Macaca fascicularis: one gene and its partners. The protein of the gene in region 2 interacts with the protein of the main gene of each other region in a biochemical or structural test. Links are inferred from orthologs where the notes say so. Each region holds a gene or a part of one and is shown on either strand. Other genes may lie near its edges.

What was found.
Region 1: of the proteins of CCNE1 (region 2) and ARIH1, one has a biochemical effect on the other in vitro, tested with the Homo sapiens proteins (3 studies listed by BioGRID). The link is inferred for Macaca fascicularis from reciprocal best matches to the Homo sapiens genes CCNE1 and ARIH1.
Region 3: the proteins of CCNE1 (region 2) and SKP2 form a complex in vitro, tested with the Homo sapiens proteins (2 studies listed by BioGRID, with this or other methods). The link is inferred for Macaca fascicularis from reciprocal best matches to the Homo sapiens genes CCNE1 and SKP2.
Region 4: of the proteins of CCNE1 (region 2) and PRKN, one has a biochemical effect on the other in vitro, tested with the Homo sapiens proteins (2 studies listed by BioGRID). The link is inferred for Macaca fascicularis from reciprocal best matches to the Homo sapiens genes CCNE1 and PRKN.
Region 5: the proteins of CCNE1 (region 2) and CDC25A form a complex in vitro, tested with the Homo sapiens proteins (2 studies listed by BioGRID). The link is inferred for Macaca fascicularis from reciprocal best matches to the Homo sapiens genes CCNE1 and CDC25A.

Annotation. Positions count from the first base shown.
Region 1 is NC_088381.1:49,291,645-49,295,719, reverse strand, and holds the start of ARIH1 (E3 ubiquitin-protein ligase ARIH1), read right to left. Parts: upstream 2,801-4,075; 5' UTR 2,491-2,800; coding exon 2,116-2,490; intron 1-2,115. UniProt on the Homo sapiens protein: E3 ubiquitin-protein ligase, which catalyzes ubiquitination of target proteins together with ubiquitin-conjugating enzyme E2 UBE2L3.
Region 2 is NC_088393.1:37,078,930-37,082,429, reverse strand, and holds part of CCNE1 (G1/S-specific cyclin-E1), read right to left. Parts: intron 1,791-3,500; coding exon 1,645-1,790; intron 1,522-1,644; coding exon 1,386-1,521; intron 1-1,385. UniProt on the Homo sapiens protein: Essential for the control of the cell cycle at the G1/S (start) transition.
Region 3 is NC_088380.1:36,439,747-36,443,745, reverse strand, and holds the start of SKP2 (S-phase kinase-associated protein 2), read right to left. Parts: upstream 2,801-3,999; 5' UTR 2,603-2,800; coding exon 2,595-2,602; intron 2,094-2,594; coding exon 1,822-2,093; intron 1,683-1,821; exon of another isoform or gene 1,654-1,682; intron 1-1,653. UniProt on the Homo sapiens protein: Substrate recognition component of a SCF (SKP1-CUL1-F-box protein) E3 ubiquitin-protein ligase complex which mediates the ubiquitination and subsequent proteasomal degradation of target proteins involved in cell cycle progression, signal transduction and transcription.
Region 4 is NC_088378.1:8,403,053-8,407,320, reverse strand, and holds the start of PRKN (E3 ubiquitin-protein ligase parkin), read right to left. Parts: upstream 2,801-4,268; 5' UTR 2,682-2,800; coding exon 2,675-2,681; intron 1-2,674. Other genes in the region: PACRG (parkin coregulated gene protein), read left to right, coding at 3,252-3,407. UniProt on the Homo sapiens protein: Functions within a multiprotein E3 ubiquitin ligase complex, catalyzing the covalent attachment of ubiquitin moieties onto substrate proteins. Substrates include SYT11 and VDAC1.
Region 5 is NC_088376.1:111,123,734-111,127,723, reverse strand, and holds the start of CDC25A (M-phase inducer phosphatase 1), read left to right. Parts: upstream 1-1,190; 5' UTR 1,191-1,247; coding exon 1,248-1,417; intron 1,418-2,399; coding exon 2,400-2,476; intron 2,477-3,990. UniProt on the Homo sapiens protein: Tyrosine protein phosphatase which functions as a dosage-dependent inducer of mitotic progression. Directly dephosphorylates CDK1 and stimulates its kinase activity. Also dephosphorylates CDK2 in complex with cyclin-E, in vitro.

The DNA.
Region 1 (4,075 bases), on a different chromosome or scaffold from region 2:
AACTTTTCCGAAAGCAATGTGGTAGTATGTATCAAACACATTGAAAATGAGCAAATTCTTTTGACTCAGCAATTCACTTTATCCCAAGAAAGTAAGAACACTCAAAGACTGACCTATAATAATATTTTAAATGATGTTTATAAAAGCCAGAAACTAGAAAATAAAAAGGAAGGCAAATCACAGACTGATTAAATAAATCAGTTTGGATCAATAATCATGTAAGTTCTCGAAAAACTTACTTGACAGAAGGTTGTTCAGAGGATTTTTGTAATAATGTTTTTCCACTGAAAACACAGAACATACAGTACAGTTCCACTGTTATTAACGTTGAACCATATTAGTAGCTATCCAAAGGTTTAGAAAAATAACTACAGTTGACATTTTGGTGTAGGTCTCTGGGTGGCAGGCTTGTTTTGTCTTTTTATTTTTTCTTACCTAATCAGATTTGTCTTACACGTGCATCTTCTACAGGCCTGGCGCGGTGGCTGACGCCTGTAATCCAGCACTTTGCGAGGACGAGGCGGGCGGATCACGAGGTCAGGAGTTCGAGACCAGCCTGGCCAGCATGATGAAACCCGTCTCTACTAAAAATACAAAAAATTAGCTGAGCATGGTGGCGCACGCCTGTAGTACCAGCTACCGGGGAAGCTGAGGCAGAAGAACTGCATGAATCCGGCAGGCGGAGGTTGCAGTGAGCTGAGACTGCACTATTGAACTCCAGCCTGGGAGACACAGCGAGACTCTGCTTCAAACAAAAAAAAATTATCTTCTACAATCCTCAACTTCCTTCTTAGACTGCGTTCTCTATATTAAAAAATTAAGACTTCCACTATTTAGTAATGGCACTAGGTATCAGACATTTTTCTATTATGCAAAACGCTGTATTCAAACAGTGCCTGAATAGATGATTCAATTTTTAAAACTGTTACTTATAATACTATAAAAATCTGTTAATGATAGAAAGTCAACGAGTTGACAGTGCCATACTTCTAATTTGTCAATGAATATTTAGCCAACCAATTTATGTTAAAAACGAAATGATGACTGACAAGCAAGAGGCAATAGTAAGTAACTTGCTGCTCATATATGTTTCCTTCCAGGTTTTCTAAAAGTTACACTAAATCAAGCTTCATTTTTATTCTTCGGCCATATCCCTGATTCCTCAGGACAAGTGAGGTTTTTTCCCCCAAAGAAATGAAGATTTTTGATTTTCTAAAGCTCAAAAATGCAAAATCTGACGCATATGGTTCACTGAGATGTGGTTATCAACTTACACCAAGCCTAACTTACCACAAAATAGAAAATATCAGAGAAAGGAGTTCACAAGCAGAAAGTCTCTTCTTTCTAACAATAGAGTCTTGTCCGATATTAGACAACACTGCATTTTGTTGCCGTTTTAGCTACAAGGATGGGTATGCAATATGCAGTAACTATTCCAACAGCTTCAAGCAAGTAATATGCTACGACTAGAGAAAGTAGCAGTTAGGTCCCAAACAGCAAAAATGTAAAAAAGATGTAAGCAGAAGCCTCACCATCTGAAAAGGCCCATCAGCACCTCTTCCGAGAAATAGTTCCCTTCCCCCACCCTTTAAGTAGGCACTTGAGACTGCCAAGATCCATTTCTTTATTAACTGGTGCCCACTTGGGGCAACTGTACACCAAGCTGCTCTAAGGCCTACTCTAATCCCTTCCAAAAGTGCTCAAATGAGGCTAAGGCCGGGGTAACCCTCGTCGGGGCCCAATTCTTCCTGACTCCTCTTCCCCACCCCACCTCCTCCGCCCCGCCCCAGCAGGCGCTCGCCCAGCCAAAGAAAGGACACCGGGGCCAGGGACTGGCAGAAATTGCCCGCAAGAGAAGGCTTAGGCGGCCGAAGGCCTCCGCCATAGCAGGACTTGGGAAGCACCGCCCCCAGAGTACCTCCCCACACCCGGCTAATCGGCGAACCTCTGCTTTCGACACCCTCTATCCCCAGCAGAGGCAGCGGAGAAGACAAGGCCGGGAGGCACCGGGCTGGGCTGCGCACCAGGCCCAGGCCTGTCCCTTGGGACCGCGCGTGCAGCCTGAATCCGCTCCCCGGTTGAGCCCGGTCCAGCTGGCGCGGCGGCCACCCTCACCTGGATGACCTCGTTGACCTCCCGGATACATTCCACCATGTGTTGTAGAATCTGCTCGGCCGTGAGCACCTCGTAGCGGTAATCCTCCTCCTGCTCGTGCCCCGGCCCGCCACCACCGCCGCCGCCGCCGCCGCCACCGCCACCGCCGGGCCCCAGAGCGCTGCCGCCGCCACCGCCCGTCTCCCCGCACAGCAGTCCGTCCCGCTCCCCGCCGACGCCCAGGCCGGGCTCCACCAGCTCCACCTCGCCCAGATCCAGGGTATCATCGTCCGGCTCGTCGTCGTCTTCGTCCTCCTCCTCCTCGGCGCCGCTGTCCTCCTCACTGCACTCCTCGTCCTCGTCGAACTCGTAGTTGTAGCCCTCGTCCGAGTCCATGGCGCGACGCGCGGGGGCCCGGCGGACGCTGGCCGAGGCGGGGAGAGGGCGGGGACGCCGAGGCCCCGGCTCTCGCTCCGGCTCCGGCTGATGTCCGGACGCAGGCCTGGCTCCGGCCCCGCGGGCCGCGGCTCCTCCCCAGGAGCGGCGGTTGGCGTTTGACTGCTGGTGGCGGCGGGGAGGGCGCGGAGGAGGGAGGGAGGGAGCGAGGGGGCCGCTTGCTGCCCGCCTCAGTCAGACGCGGCTCCGCTCCGGCCTCCGAGAGAAAACAGTCCCCAGCGCCACCTCTACGGCCGCTGCTATCGCTACTGAGCCAACAAAGGGGCGTGCGTCACCGCGTCGCGTTGCGTCGTCGCGTCACTCCTCTTTGCGTCACTGCGCCCCGCCCCGCCGCCCCTGCGTGGAGCCCGGGGAGACCCCACGGCCCGGCCTACCTGGGCCTAGGACTTGAGCAGGAATTGCCTTCTCGGTTCGGTCCGCTGCCGCTGTGAGGGCCGAGCGGAAACCCGTAGAGCTTTTATGTGAAGAGATTGCGGCCTCCTGGTCACCAGTCGCCGAGAGAGGGACCCCTGGACCGCCTAGGTGGTGGTGTTTGCCGCAGGCCATAGGGATCCAGCCCCCTCCGGCAGTCCCATGGGGACGCGGCCTTCCCACCCGGGCGGAAAGGCGCTTCCCGCCCGCCCTGCGGTAATCCCGGAAGCCGTGATCTGTTAATCTAAAATTTCTGTTGCTTTGGCTACTGATGGAAACCTGTTGTAAGTGGAACCTCTAAACTGTATGACAGGCGAACCCACTTTAGGTAGCTGTGTGATTCTGTTCACTTGTACAGACATGCTGTGGTTTTTAAGTCTCCTATAATGACGTCATTTTAAAGAGGCATTTCCTCAACCCCGCTGATTAGAGCGCCTCTTGAGGGCCCTAAACAATGTAAACAGCGATGGTTTTCATGAATTGAGCACTGTGTAAGGGCTTTACATATATTCTGTTTCATCTTCATGGAGCCATAGTACCCATTTTATACCTGAGGAACCTGAAGCTCAGAAAGGAAAAGGGACCTGGCCAAGACCACATAACCCTTGCCCTATTTTAGCCACTGGATGCCCCAAAACATGAATCATAAAAATGCATTGTAATGCATATGTATTATATACTGTATAGTACATAAAAGACATGAATGCTTCAACAAAATACAGGCAATAATAGAAATATCTACAAGGGCCAAATGTAGCAAGAGAGATAATGCTTGAATCTCATCTGAAAGTGTGCTATGTGAGCTGAGTGTTGTTGAATGGCTAGTTCAACAGAGAAGGCAGGGAAGATGGTCTGGCCACAGAGACCAAGCAAAAGCGCAGAAGGTGTCAAGTAATTAATAGTTTGGGAGCTTAAAGTGCATGGAGGGTAGATGGCAAAATATTAGGCAAGTTAGTCAGGGGTCATGTCAGTAAGAGCATTTTATGCCTTTTTAAGAGTGGGCTTAAATCTTTGTAAACAGGACATGAGAGCCAGACAAGTGTTATGAAGGAAGAAGAGGCATAAGAAGGCTCCCTCTTGAGATAATCTGAAGAATTGGCCAGATTGAAAACCT
Region 2 (3,500 bases):
TAGTGAGCCATGACTGCACCACTACACTCCAGCTTAGGTGACAGAGCAACTCTGTCTCAAAATACAGAAGCCACTCCAATGGTCCAAATATCTTTAAAAATGTGCTAAAAAAAATTGAGACAGAGTCCCATGATCACCCAGGCTGGAGTGCAGTGGCACTATCATGGCTCACTGCAGGCTCCAACTCCCAGGCTCAAGCAATCCTCCCATTTCAGCCTCCGCAGTAGTTGTGACTACAAGCGTGAGCCACTATACCCTGACAATTTTTTATGTTTTGTTGAAATGGGGTCTTGAGGGCCGGGTGCAGTGGCTCACACCTGTAATCCCGGCACTTTGGGAGACCAAGGCAGGCGGATCACCTGAGGTCAGGAGTTCAAGACCAGCCTGACCAACATGGAGAAACCCTGTCTCTACTAAAAATACAAAATTAGTCAGGCATGGTGGCGTATGCCTGTAATCCCAGCTACTCAGGAGCTGGAGGCAAGAGAATCGCTTGAAACCGGGAGGCAGAGGTTGCAGTGAGCCAAGATCGCACCATTGCACTCCAGCCTGGGCAACAAGAGCGAAACTCTGTCTCAAAAAAAAAAAAAGAAAAGACATGGGGTCTTGCCATGTTGCCCAGGTTAGTCTCCAACTCCTGGGCTCAAGGGATCCTTCTGCCTTGGCCTCCCAAAGTGCTGGGATTAGAGACATGACCCACCGTGCCCAGCCAGGATTTGAACAGTATATTTTATTAGAATAAATGGGAATGGTGGCAAAAGGGAATGGATTCCAAGAAGTTAAAAAGGAACAATGTCAGACCTGCTTAAGATAAACTTGTTCACACGTGTTTATAATTTATGACAGTAGCTATCAAAGAGGTGATATATGCGTTCCAGTGGGTACATTTAAAAGCAGTTTAGCCAGGCACGATGGCTCAGGCCTGTAATCCCAGCACTCTGGGAGGCCAAGGTGGGTGGATCACGAGGTCAGGAGTTCAAGACCAGCCTGGCCAACATGGTGAAACCCTGTCTCTTCTAAAAATACAAAAATTAGCCGGGTGTGGTGGCGTGTGCCAGTAATCCCAGCTACTCAGGAGGCTGAGGCCAGGAGAATCGCTTGAACCTGTGAGGCAGAGGTTGCAGTGAGCCGAGATTTTGCCACTGCACTCCAGCCTCGGTGACAAAGACTCCATCTCAAAAAAAAGAAAAGAAGAAAAAAAAAAAGATTTCAGAAATTCTTGCTAAGAATACAAGCAAAACAGAAAGACCACCTCAGTAAATATACCATATAGCTTCAGAGATGGAGAACGTGTCAAGGGAATCAACCACACAGAGATCCTAATACACAAAAATGCTGGAAATGCTCAGTGCTTTCATGAAGGCAACAGGAAGACTCAAGCTCACCTCCATTAACCAATCCAGAAGAATTGCTCGCATTTTTGGCTGCAGAAGAGGGTGTTGCTCAAGAAAGTGCTGATCCCTTAAGTATGTCTTTTCCTTGTTTAACATGATTTTCCAGACTTCCTCTCTATTTGCCCAGCTACAACAAAACACACAACAAAAATGAGGCCCACACAGGGGTGAGAATGCGTCCATGCTATGAGGGATAAAGGGGAGTATGGAGTAAGAGACCTGGAAGCCACGTGGTAGAGTCGGCACTGACCTCAGTACAGGCAGCGGGGAGCCTCTGGATGGTGCAATAATCCGAGGCTTGCACGTTGAGTTTGGGTAAACCCGCTCATCATCTTCTTTGTCAGGTGTGGGGATCAGGGAGCAGGGGTCTGCACAGCCTGTATTATTGTCCCAAGGCTGTAAATGAAAAATACACAGGAGAGGTGAGATAAGATGCAAACAGCTCCTACATTACCCAAAAACACTGCAAAGTCACTTGCAACTCAGTAAGATACTGGGCATGACCTCTGAAAGTGCTTCCAAAAAGATACATTATGGTATTTTTTGTCACAACTCAAAGATTTGTTTTTTAGTGAGTACACGCATCTACTAAAATTTCACAAAAGGAAAACAGAATTGTCAATAAAAATATTTACATAAGCACTTCACGTTCATGAGTATAAAAGATCAAAAATGTAAATTGGCTGCCATATATATTAAAGTCCCCTCAGTTTAAAACAAAAACCCACCAAATGTGACATTTTTTTTTGTTGCGCGACTAGCCAAATATGTTAAACAATAAAGGACTTTCTCTTTTCCTTAACTCGAAACAAACAGAATGACTATCCACCTAGTTAAAACCAAATCAAGTGATGGTCACAGGTCATACTATTAAGTCTACAGGAAGCTAGTCTAGATACTCCTTAAGACCTCTGAATCTCGAATCTTGCAGGCTAATTCAAATACCCAATAAAATAAGGAACTATTATAAACCAAAGCACTATGCTTTTCTTTTAAAGGTTTCAGATATGTATTCAGTTTTCAGTATCTGAAAAACACTAAAGTTCATTTAGAATATTTTCTTAAGCTATTCCTACTCTAAGATGTCTGATTTTTAAAGTTATAAAATGGTAACTCTGCTGAAGATATTAGGCAGGTAACAATCCCACTAGCATGGAAGCCGTATGAAAGTCTGAGACTTGGCTTTTTTTTTTTTTTTTTGAGACAGGGTCTCCCTCTGTTGCCCAGGCTGGAGTGCAGTGGTGCGATCTCAGCTCACTGCAACCTCTGCCTCCTGGGGTCAAGCCATCCTCCTGCCTCAGCCTCCTAAGCAGCTAGGACTTCAGGCATGCACAAGCACGCCCAGCTAATTTTTGTATTTTTTGGTAGAGATGGGTTTTCGCCATGTTGTCCAGGCTGGTCTTGAACTCCTGGACTCAAGCCGTCCTCCTGCCTTGTCTTCCAAAAGTGCTGAGATTACAGGCCTGAACCACCGCACTTGGCTTTTTTTTTTTTTTTTTAAGCAGAGACCACCAGCCTGGCGGTGGTCTCTGCTTTAAAAAAATAGACAACTGGGGTCACTATAATGAACGTGGAAACTTGGGCTCTAAGTGCTACCTCAAAGACACAGCACAGAGTGGCGACCACAGCACATTGGTCGCCTTCAGAGGAAGCCCAAACACTTTCAGTTGGAAGAGCAAAGCCAGATAAAGCTCTTCCCCACCCAATGTACAAAGAATTGGGCATGCAAATTATCCATGACAGCTCCTGCCAACAGCTGTGCGAGCAAGGCTGCTTCCTTTCAGTTCTAGTACCATGTGCGGGTGGCATTTCCTTGACTCAAAAAGGGTCACATTACAACCGCTGTAAGTTGTTCTTCATTCAGGAAGAATGAATTCTAGTCTTGAAGGCATAATGCTGGGTGCCGCCCTCTAAGGCCAGCTGGCTGGCACATCTGAGAGCAGGCCTTTGGACATAGATGAGTCCAGCAGCAGTTCCCAAACAAACTAGGTGAACCATCAGCAGACAAACGGTTTCCAAAGTTGGCCTTTTAGGGACCAGTGGATGAGGTAGAATAATTAAGTCTATGTCCTTAACTTGAGTGTACACCAAGTTTCAAAGCAAGAT
Region 3 (3,999 bases), on a different chromosome or scaffold from region 2:
AATCCCAGCACTTTGGGAGGCCAAGGCTGGAGGATCGCCTGAGTCCAGGAGTTTGAGACCCGCCTGGACAAGATGGTAAGATCCCACCCCCCACCCCCACCCCCCCCACCCCCCCCCCCCCCCCCCCCCGCCGCCGCCCAACTCTACAAAAAACAAAACAATTGCTGGGCGTGGTGGTGCATGCCTGTAGTCTCAGTTACTTAGGAGGCTGAGGCAGGAGAATCTCTCAAATCCAGGTGAAGACAGTGAGCCAAGAGAATGCCACTGCACTCTAGCCTGGGCGACAGAGCAAGACTCTGTCTTGAAAATATGAAATTTAAAAAAGACCCTAAGTTTCTACCCTTGACACCCCTGCGGTTGAGTCTCAACACATCAGTGTGTCCTTTTTAGAAGGTTAAATCAGGTCCCATCACAACTGTGCTCAACATTACCTCCAGCCTGATCTCTCCCAACTCTCTCCTTTGCTCATTCTACTCTTAGAATATGGCTTCCCTGTTCCTGGAACAAATGTGTCACATTTATGCACCAGGGTCTTTGCATTGGCTATTCCTTCTGCCTGGAGCTCTTTTCTCCATGATATCTGCATGGCACACTCCCTTGCCTCCTTTATGTCTTTGCTTAAAGGTCACTGTCCAGTTGAGGCTTTCCCTCAATACCTGGTTTAAAAGTGCACTCTATCTTCCCACCCCAGGACCTGCATTCCCTCTTGGCTTGTTCCATTTTTGTTTTTAGCCATAGCACTTATCACCTTCTAACATACTATATAAAAATAGTTATTGTGTTTATTGTTTTCTCTCACTAGAATGGATGCTCCCTGAGAGCAGAAATGTTTATGTTGTGCCCACTGGTGTATCTCCAGCACCTGGAACACTGCCTAGCACATGGTATGTGCTCAGCAAATATTTGCTGCATTACTGTTTTAAATAGCTTACTAGTAAGAAAAACTGATAACCCCAGGTCAATGCCCTATTTACCCTATGGCTTTTGCATACTCCAGGGTTCTGGTTCACTCTGGGAGGCACTCATTCACCTGCTTGAGAAACTAGGGGATGGGGAGCTATTAAGGAGGGAAGAAATAGTTTTTCAGTCAATCCATTCTAGTTCTAGGGGATAGATCTGGGGAGAAGGTTGGAATTATGAATCTGCTCCAATAGTTGAGGCAAGAGAAGATAAGAACTTGAGAAATAGTTACCAGAGAAGAGAGAAAGATGCAATGAATGAGTGGATGTTGGGGGCGGTGGGAATCGGACTGACTCTCAGGTTTTTGGGTTGGGTGATTAAACAGATAGTGTCAGCAGTAATGGAGACAGAACACACCAGAGAAGATAATATGGGAGTGGGAGTGGGCCTGGGGAGATAATTCTCCCCCACTTAGGTGAACGTTCACTTCAGCAGTCCACTGATAAATAACTTAAGTGATTAAGACAAAAAGCTCACTCAGGGGTACAAAGCAAAAGAATCCTACAAGAAGACCACTGCTTTGTTTCTATTAATTGGTGGCACCGAGCTGGCCTTTAGGAAGACAGATTCCCTTCTAAGGAAAAAGGCAGGAATGTCTTCTCATGGGTTAAAATTTTCAGGGTGATTATGCACCAGAACGCACACACACACACATATATATACACACATACACACACACACATATATACCTACCAAGATTCCTGCATACTTGACGACTTGCCCTATTGTGTTGAAAAAACAGCTTCAGAATTAGGCAATCTTAAAAGGAACCCATGGTAAAGATCCCTGAACAAAGGTTTCCCAACAACATAGCTAAATCCACCCTTTGCATAACTTACATTTTTACCCTCATATCCTTACCTGGAAAGTTCTCTCGATTTAGCTTAGGCCTGCGGACAATCACAAAGTCTTTTTCACTCCCTTTGCTCTTCAGCCGTTTCCGTGGGGGGCTCTCCGGGTGGCCCAGGTTTGAGAATAGTTCCTGGGGGATGTTCTCACTGTCGGGCTCCTCTTTCTCCAGGGCGGAGACCCCCATGCCTGACAGCAGTTCAGAAGTCTTGCTGGAATCCCATCCCCACGTGAAGCTGGTGGCAACGTTGCTACTCAGGTCTGGAATCTCCTGAAGGTGCTTCCTGCAGAAGTGCACAATACCCCCGGTTCCTTTCGAAAACACACCCATAAATAATTCCAAGGAAGGCATTAAAGAAGCTGCAGTTTATGTATTGTGGAAAACCTTCACAGCAGCTAACACAATCGCATTTTTTTACGTGCCCGCGGAGAGTTACCAAGAAAATGAAGAAATGAAAAGAACAAATCGAGAAGGCTCTTTGACTTACGATCCTGCAGAAGGCCTCAAGAATTTCTCCCAGCGGAGGGAACAGACAAGGAGAGAGACAGGGCAATCATACACTGATTGAAAACGGTGGCAGAAAAGCCCAATTAAGGAAGCCAGATAAAACCGCACGCTGATCCCCGCACTAAGGCATTCATCCATTCACACTTTCCCCAAGAAGGGGCTAAGCAACCATTCACTTAACAGCATTACTAACAATATTAGCCAGTAGCGATATTCGCGGCCTAAAAGAATTATTAAGAGGGTCCATTCATGCTCTTCCCTTTTTGAATCCGTTTACCTGTGCATAGCGTCCGCAGGCTCGGGAGTTTAAAATACGTGCATTAATTGCAGAGCTGCTCGCCTCCCGGATTCCCGATTTGGCGCGCGGCGGCTCCGAGCGTGCTGCTCGGACCCCCAGGAGCCAGACCCGCTAAGTCTAGCAACGTTCCATCCCCACCGCGCGCGCAAGACTCTACAGCCCGCTTTGCTTCGCGGCCGCACTCTGAGGCCCCACGGCCTGCTGGGAATTGTAGTTTCCGTCCCGTTTCGTAGTCCGACGGGCTCGCCCTAACTTCCTTCCCTTGCAGCTTTACCCGCCTTCCAGATACCCACAACCCCCCGCGGGAGCGGGACTGGTCGGCCCATGGGGTAGGCGGGGAGGCGGAAGCGGGCGGTGCTACGGCTGACTGGGAAATGTCAGCCGCTGGACTGTGGACGGATTTTTCTTTCCTGGGAGCCGGCAGGCCTTCTGGTGATCACCAGCGCTGTCGTCTCTGAGCGTGGATCCCAGAACCTGAACAGCTGTGACGGCCGCCGCTTCCCGGTCCCATCCAGACGCTGTCTGGCGAGATCGGACAGTGAGCCTAAGGCGGAACGCGTGAGGCGCTTTTGAGTGTGGGGTCCGAGGCCGAGCGCAGGCGGAAAGAGAGGGGACCCGGCAGACCCCAAGTGGCCGCCGCCGCGGGGCCCACGTCCCTAGCTGCTGAGTGGGGACAGTAGCCCAGCCCGCTGGCCAGGTGAGAGGCTGCGAAATGCGGGCGTCGCACCTGTTCGTCCTTTTGCCAGGAAGCTTCTTCCTCCGTGGGGGAGAAGGCGGCCCTTAGAATTGGGTCTGTGGACAGGATCCCTCCTTTATCTGTAAAATACGCACAACAGCTAAACATGAGTCGGAACGAAAGACAGTGGTTTAATTTTAGGGGAGCCGGAGACCCCAGCGGGTCCTGTGTGGTGGGAAGGCTGCGCATGCCCTTGCAGCCTTGACAAGTCTCATAAATAGTAACAGAGGAATAAATGAAAGGACGGTATTTTGCAACGGGCTTTACCCGTGCAACGCAGGGGGCCTCCAGCAAAGCCATTTGGTTGCTTGCTGTCGCTCAACTGGCTACGTGTGTTTGCGTCGCCGCCTAAAAGCAAGCTGCTTTAAGCCTATCTCTGCTGAGAAGAGTTTGGGGGCGGTTGGAGTAGAGAGCGTGACATATTCCAGGTACAATGACCATGCGAAATCCATTGGACAAACTATACTACAACTGTGACCCCGGGAAAACAGTGGAAGAGGGAAGGGGGATGAATTCTAAGCTTCATAAAAATGAAGATTTATAAAGTTCATAAGGAAGCATAACAGCTTCATCTCATATTAGAATATTCAGTGATGCTGTATGACACGCCCTCTGGTTTCCTTGAAAAAATGATTTACTCTATAGTGA
Region 4 (4,268 bases), on a different chromosome or scaffold from region 2:
TTAAATTACGTTTCCATAGCTGCCCAGGTCAGGGCATTCAACATATCAATCGCAATCCAGGTGGGAAATGTAAGGACTTATGAAACAGTCCTCATCCCAAGAAGGGAATCTTTGGTTTTGAGAAAGTAAAAGGAAGGCACATTCCACTAGCAGTTAGGTCGCAGTCAGTCTTGTTTACTCCTCTTCTACCAGGAAACCCATCTTTACGTTTCTCCAACTGGCAGAATATTATTTGCATTAAGGTTGGGGCGGGAAATTAAAGAAAAATAAAATTAAAAAGAAAAAGAAATAAGTTTTCCTGTTTTAGGCTAACTTGTCCCAGAGGCAGCAACAGCACAGCCCAGATCCAGGAAGAGTCTTGCTAATATTATCGAATGTGCTCTGGAGACTCTCCCAGCACTCCCTCAACACAGGGAGAAGAAAAACAAATTTTCCTTTGTTTTATGGAATCAGTTTATAGACTCTTGTTCTCTGTAACTAGTGATTTCAAGTATTCTGTTTTATCTAAGAAGCACAACGAAGGTCATGAGAAGCCTGAGTAGGCCTGAACTACAGCTGCCTGGGCACCATAGTGAAGGTTATAGGATAAGCCTGTGCCCAGGGAAACCTAGATAACGAACATCTGGGTTGCTTGGCGATGGCCATGTGCAGTCCTGCCTTTGTCCTGCCTCTGTATCCCTGCTTTGCCACCACCGTAAGTTTGCTTCAAGCTAGCCCACCTCCTTTTGTGAAGTGTGTATAAAAGTCAAGTACTGTCTTTATTCTGGGCCCAGTCTATTGCATGTGAGTCAGCTGGGCCTGAGTGCACTCGATCAAGATTCTCCTGTTTCAACCCGAGGTCTCTCTCGTCCTCCTGAATCCCGCAACAAGGTGAGTGTAACAGAGAAAGCATAGGCCTGAAAGGAGCAAGCTTTGAGAAGCACTCTTACCTTTAACAGAAAATCCCAGATACATACTATTTACATTTTGATCTCCAACTGATCACTGGATAAAATCTATAATGTCTTTCCTCGCTCTGAATTTTTGTCACAAAAACACAAAATCCATCACTCCAAGGCTTCCTTTTAATGGTTTTCACTTTCACCTACCTTTAGCACTGTTCACCACACCCAAATCTCAAACTGGCCATTCAGATGTTTACTGAAATGTGGCTAATGAGGCTGGGCGTGGTGGCTTACGCCTCCAATCCCAGATCTTAAGTGCCTGTCTTCATATAGCTTTACAATAAATTTGTTTCTCTTAAAATTATCTGTGCACTAGATTAAGTTAAATTAAAATAAAATGTATTTAACTGTCTTCAAAATAAGGTATAGGCTATTTTCTTCCTGTAGACTACTGATAGCACGGATTTTGGAAAATCTCTTCTACTTGGTTTTCTGATTCAGTTCAGACTTGTGCTTACAAGTGAATCTTACGTAAATGTCACCTAAAAAGAGCTCAAGAAAACTCAAAAAATTATAACTTTTTCATAATTTGGTTAACTTTCAAGTCATTCACCAAAAGTCAGACCATGCTAGAAAGGGAAGGCTGAACAACATTCTTGTTTTACCACAGAGACAAAGACAATGCCAGTTAGCTGGCTTGATTCTCCCACTGATGGGCAGAATGTTTACATTTTAACAATAACTTCATAAATAAAAACAGATGTAGTACGTGTTTTCAGTGCATAAAGATCATATATTTTATGAATCCACCTCTCACCTTACTTCTGGACAGACCACATCTGACTTCGAACGTACTTACTGCAATCAAAAGTGTTTTGTAAGGGACGCTCCTCAGGAATTAGCCCTAAACAAGCTCACTAAACCCTCCATACATAACCTGGAGAAACTTCCACAATAATGAAACCCCATATAGCACTGGCTTCTAAACATATGGTGCATTTCCATTCATTTTTAGGGACAGCCCCTAAAGTAGTTTTTGGTTCAACAACCCTGGAAGAGGACCTTTGCACCTTTGCTCATCTTACACATCAAGTGTTCATGAACAACTCTGATGCCACTAAGTTTTGTTCACAAAATTGCACCTCGGTCATTGTGTTTTACCAAAAAAAAAAAAAAAAAAAAAAGTTATATTGCAAAAGGCAGTAGATGTAATCTTGGCTATTATTTACTCTCAATTTTTCTTTCACCTCAGCCCTCCAACGAGAAGTTTAAAAGGAAACATCCGAGGGAGCAAGAAGTTTAGATTCATCTGGAGGAGTTTCTGTGGCGCCCAGCCACCCTCACCAGGTGCCTTCCATTAGAGTTTAATGCTTTGCTGGGGTTTCCTGAAAGAGCCCCACAAAGAGTGGGTCTCGATGGGTCCTGAACCGCACGACAACTGGCCAGGGCCTCGAGGGCGAGGGGCGGCGGCGGGGCGAAGGCTTCGGGACCCTACACGGTCCGGGGGACCATGAGCGAGGACCGGGGGTGCGGGGCCGCCTGGCGTCCCCGGTGAGGCGGTCTTCACGGGAACGCTCAGAGCAGGGGCGGGCGGGCGAGGGCTTGGAACGCACACACTGGGGCCCCGGGCCCGCGTCGCTGAGCTGGAGAGCCCGGCGGTGCGGGCCGGGTACGGCATGGGCACTTTGGCCCCGTCACTGACAGTTGGCACCTGGGGTCCAGGTCGGCCGAGGCCACACCGGGGCGCAGGGCGGCGCAGATGAGGCTGTACCTGGCAGGTACCCACGTACCTATCATGGTCACTGGGCAGGTGGCGGCTGCGGGCCAGGAAAGGGCCTACGCGCGCACCGGCGCCAGCCAGCGCCTCCCACCAGCGGCTCTCCTGGGTTAAATCTTCCAGGGCTCCCCGCCCCGGCGCCGGGCCCTAGGAATGCGCACGCGCGGAGGGTACGCGGCCCAGGGCCTGCTGGGAGTCGTAGTTTTAATGCGTAGTTTCTCCTCACGCCTCCTGCCCTCCAGCTCACCGCCGCCTCCCTTTCCGGCTTCAGGCCCAGCAATCGTACGTCACCGAGGGGCGGAGCTATGCGCCCGCAGTGTTGACCAGTCGCTTAGCAACCGGGAGGCTTACCTTTGGAAGCTTGTTGCAGCTCTAGCTACGGTCCTGCCCTCTTCCCGCCCCACCCCTCCCCTAAACTCCCTTCACCTAGGAGCTGCCAAACATCTGGATCAACCTGGGCACTACGAGGGGTTGAATTTCTACCATTAACGCGCCTTTTGACATTTTTTTCCCGACCTCCTGCTCACATCCGTAAAACCCACTGATTCTTTTACTACACTTTTTATGAGAACAAGACATTTTCTAGGAAGATGGTGGCAGAAAAAGAGACCCTGAGCTTAAACAAATGCCCAGACAAGATGCCGAAGAGGACCAAGCTGCTGGCACAACAGCCGCTCCCGGTGCACCAGCCTCACTCCCTGGTTTCTGAGGGCTTCACAGTCAAAGCCATGATGAAAAACTCAGTCGTAAGTGATCTTCCTGAATTGAATGCACTCGCTCCGTATCAGGGGACACGAGATTTACAGAGGTTGGCCAGCCCTAGGATGGACTCTGAGCCCATGTCCTGGGTGGTCTTTGCCAAAAATGGCAATTACTTGGCAAGTAGCAGACGGTCCCCCACAGTGTGTGGGGGGCAGGCTAGGTTGTTAGAATCCTGGGCAAATGATATACTCTGCCCATTGATAAGCACCTTCCTGATAACTCATCGTTTCTAAACCGCCCAAAATTACTCTTACGCTATTTACACGAGGTAAAAAGATCCCCTTTAATTACTGATTGCTAACTAACCCCACTCAGCAAAGGGCCTTACAGAAGATGAGCTCTTAGAAATCATAAACTCTTGCAAAATTTAACATGAGCTGATATACAACTGGGAACATAAACTCATTAAATAATCTATAATGAGAAATTTTGGAATATCCTAGCAGTTACTCTAACAACACTTGTCTCTTAGAAAATGATGTCATCTTGTTAGAGTACTGAAAGCCCACTTAATATGAACACTGTTTCCTGACAGGCCTTTTAAGATGATGTGCTTTAAACAATACAAGCTTTAGCTCATGTGTCTCTGCTACTAATACAATTCATATTTCATCTGCATTATTTGTAGTAACAAAAATAAAATATTCTAAGTATCATTAGAGGAAAAAAAGATTAAAAATACATACAAATATTTTAGCTGTCTGCATGATAGTATCTATTTTTTAAACCTTCCTATTTGTTACATAGCTTTACACTTGGTATGCTAAGGCAGATTTTGCTACTGAGTAAGCACCTGTCTGGGAATGAGGCATTAAATAATAAATGCAGCTTTCAAATTCATATAA
Region 5 (3,990 bases), on a different chromosome or scaffold from region 2:
AGCTATTATTTGCTATTATTGTATTTGCTGTTATTGCTCTCTAGGTGCTCCCAGGGGGCTAAGAAGTCGTGGGAAGAAAGAAATGATTCTAAGAGAATCCAGTAAGGGCTAGAATGGAAGTGAGCAAACAATGCTGAGGCCCACAGCACATGTTGTACTGCGGGGTTCAAATCCCATAAGGCCAGCAGCACCCGGGGTCTGTGAGCCCTCCAGAGTTGGGCCCTGGTGGTCGAGTCCAGTCCTGGGGGTCATTCCATTCCCTCCCTCATTATAAATTGGGGCCTGAAGGCCCGGGGCGGAAGAAAGGGGTCCACAATACTGCACGGTTAGAGGCCGAGCCAAGGCTGGATCCGGCCAGACCTCCACAGCTCTTCCTTAGCCTCCACATTCCCTCAGGGTGTCGGGCGCCAGGTTGGGGGCGAGGTAGTGGAGGCCCAACGGAGGCCGAAGCTAACTGGACGGCGCCTCGCGATGAGAACTACGCTTCCCAGCATGCGACGGGGCAAGGGGGCCTTTCAGCCGCGAGCAGTGTCTCGCAGGGTCTGCTGGGAGTTTTCATTGACCTCTGATCCCCCCGCTCATTTTGATCCGCGCTAGTCCACTCTAGGCTCCGCCCCCTTCTGAGAGCGGATGACCTGGCAGAGTCCCGCGAGCCGCTTCCTTCTTCCCCTCTCATTGGCCCAGCCTAGCTGCCATTCGGTTGCGAGGAGGAGAAGTTGCTTACTGATTGGTGGATTCCGTTTGGCGCCAACTAGGAAAGGGGGGCGGGGCAGCAGCGGCCCCCACTGAGCTGCTATTACCGCGAAAGGCCAGATTGGCTGCGACAGCCTGGGTAAGAGGTGGAGGTCGGCTCGGTTTTCTGCTACCCAGAGCTGGGCAAGCGGGTGGGAGAACAGCGAAGACAGCTTGAGTCTGGGCCGTTGCCTCGAGGCTCTCGCCCGCCTTCTCTCGCTGACCCGCCGCGTTTGTTTGGATTTAATCTTCAGGTTGCCGGCGCCCGCCCGCCCGCTGGCCTCGCGGTGTGAGAGGGAAGCACCCGTGCCTGTGGCTGGCGCCTGGAGGGTCCGCACACCCGCCCGGCCGCGCCGCTTGCCCGCGGCAGCCGCGTCCCTGAACCGCGGAGTCGTGTTTGTGTTTGACCCGCGGGCGCCGGTGGCGCGCGGCCGAGGCCGGTGTGTGCGGGGCGGGGCGGTCGCGGCGGAGGCGGAGGAAGAGGGAGCTGGAGATCTGCGAGGCCGGGCGCCGCCATGGAACTGGGCCCGGAGCCCCCGCACCGCCGCCGCCTGCTCTTCGCCTGCAGCCCCCCTCCCGCGCCGCAGCCCGTCGTGAAGGCGCTATTTGGCGCGCCAGCCGCCGGGGGACTGTCGCCTGTCACTAACCTGACCGTCACTATGGACCAGCTGCAGGGGCTGGGCAGGTGAGGAGAGACCGGCGGGCGGTGTCCCAGGCCTCTGGCCTCGGCGTCGGCCTCGGGGAGATCAGGCCAAGAAACGGACCGGGAGAAGGGCGAGACCCTTCCGTCCGGGTTCGCCGCTCGGGGACCAGCCGGGCTAGGGCCCGCCATGTGCACCCCCGCCCGGGCGGAATGTTGGGCGGGAGAGGCGGTCCGGACCTCCCAGGGGAAGAGGTGTAGATCTCGGGCCTAAGCCCGAGCCAGGCCCACCTTCACCCATTTCGGATTGCTCCGTACTGTACTTCTGTCTGTATCCCTGGAAGCTCTTTGGAATCTACCCCCGCGGGGAAAATCAGGCTCTTCTAGGCGCTCACATTCACCCTTTGCTAAACCACCCTCAGGATCTTAGTTTGCTGTGATCTTTGTTCCTTCTCAATAAAGGACCATGGCATTTTCTTTCCTGGCGTTTATGTAAAATCATCTCAGTCCCTCGACCCGTGCACATTCCTGATGTCCACTCTGCTGCTTTCCTAAGGCCAGGTCTTTTTACCTAACTTTCTGAAAGCTTCCTGGGCTTTTCCTGATAGCAAAAAATGCATTCCACGGTGTTTCCGGCGGAAGAGCTACTTTCCCTTCAATCTCTGGCATCCCATTTGCTAAGCACATGTCTTGTGCATTTCCCGACTTCTGAAAAGCAGAAAGTGCCCTGTTCAACTTTCATCCCAACTCTGTCACAGTACCTAGGACACATGCTCTTGTTTTAGGAAATACCCCAATATTTGCCATAGCCATCATAACCTGCAGTGTGGTCCAAGGTCATGCCCACCCACTCCTTTTTTCTCCTTTGCCCAAGTGCTAATTGGGTGTTCAGAGTGGCAAAGTGGGATCTTTGCTTCTTAATCTGCTTCTTAAAGTGGCTGCTGCTTAATCTCATGGCCTATCTCCTGCATGTGACCTTTTAATTATATCCTATAAATCACTCATGGTTTATTTCTGTTGGTTTCAGTGATTATGAGCAACCACTGGAGGTGAAGAACAACAGTAATCTGCAGAGAATGGGCTCCTCTGAGTCAACAGATTCAGGTATTTAAGTCTGTTGTGTGGGGAGCAATACTGTGAATTTCCTGAAACATGCCTTTTCACCCAGGAGGTTAGTTTTGGTTAGAACTTGAGGAAGTCACGGCATTGGGTGATAAACATTTTTTTTTTTTTTTTTTTTTTTGAGACAGAGTTTCGCTCTTGTTGCCCAGGCTGGAGTGCAATGGCATGATCTCGGCTCATCACAACCTCCACCTCCCGGGTTCAAGTGATTCTCCTGCCTCAGCCTCCCAAGTAGCTAGGATTACAGGCATGCACCACCACACCCAGCTAATTTTGTATTTTTTAGTAGAGACAGAGTTTCTTCATGTTGGTCACGCTGGTCTTGAACTCCCAACCTCCGGTGATCCGCCTGCCTCGGTCTCCCAAAGTGCTAGGATTACAGGCGTGAGCCACCATGCCCATTGATAAACATTATTAAGAAGAATACAAAGGAGCCCTTATGGCTATTTATGAAGAAAGGAAATAGGCTTCGAATGTCTGTAAGGAGATGGTGTGCGCTTGCCCTTTAAGGATGGGTAGTAAAGTAAAATTCACCATACCACCGTAAGTGGCATTCAGGCAATCTTACTGGCTAAAATACAGGGTCAAATTATTGGAAGTACAGTGTCATGAAATCATTTCATTGATGCTGCTATGGAGGAAATTGCCAGTGCATTTCATTCTTCATGCATTCATATTACTGCAGAGTTTATCTGTATTTTTACAGATAAGACCGTTGGGGCAAAGATGCTTTAGGTTAAAGGAATTGGAAGAGCAAAAGTCCTTTTTTTTTCTGAGACGGCGTCTTGCTCTGTTGCCCAGGCTGGAGTGCAGTGGTGCAGTCTTGGCTCACTGCAACCTGCGCCTCCGGGGTTGATGCCATTCTCCTGCTTCACCCTCCCGAGTAGCTGGGACTACAGGCACCCGCCACCACACCCGGCTAATTTTTTTGTATTTTTAGTAAAGATGGGGTTTCACTGTGTTAGACAGGATGGTCTCAATCTCTTGACCTCATTGTCCCCCCGCCTCGGCCTCCCAAAGTGCTGGGATTACAGGCGTGAGCCACCACGCCCGGCTGCAAAAGTCTTAAAATGTAATGTAGGCTTCTGTATGTAGAATGTAATTTAATAGAGAACTGGGGATAGGATTATCATTTGTAGCAGTGTGGTGAGCAAGGGCTCTAACACTTCACTTTCCGTAAGGCTACATAGACATGTGAGCTATGGGTGGGTGAGTCTGCGTCATCTGAGCTGACATATAAGTAATGCTGAACAGTGTCTCCTTCACCCTGCTTCCTGTTTTGAGATGGACACCTTGGTGTCATTTTGTTAAAGGCAGCAAGTGCTTGCCTTGCATGTCATGACTAGTAGTATTTTTCATTTTGAGACAAGGTCTCAACTCTTGTCACCCATGCTGGAATGCAGTGGCCCCATCTTGGCTCACTGCAACCTCCGCCTCCAAGATTCAGACAATTCTCCTGCCTCAGCTTCCCTAGTAGCTGGAATTACAGGTGCAGG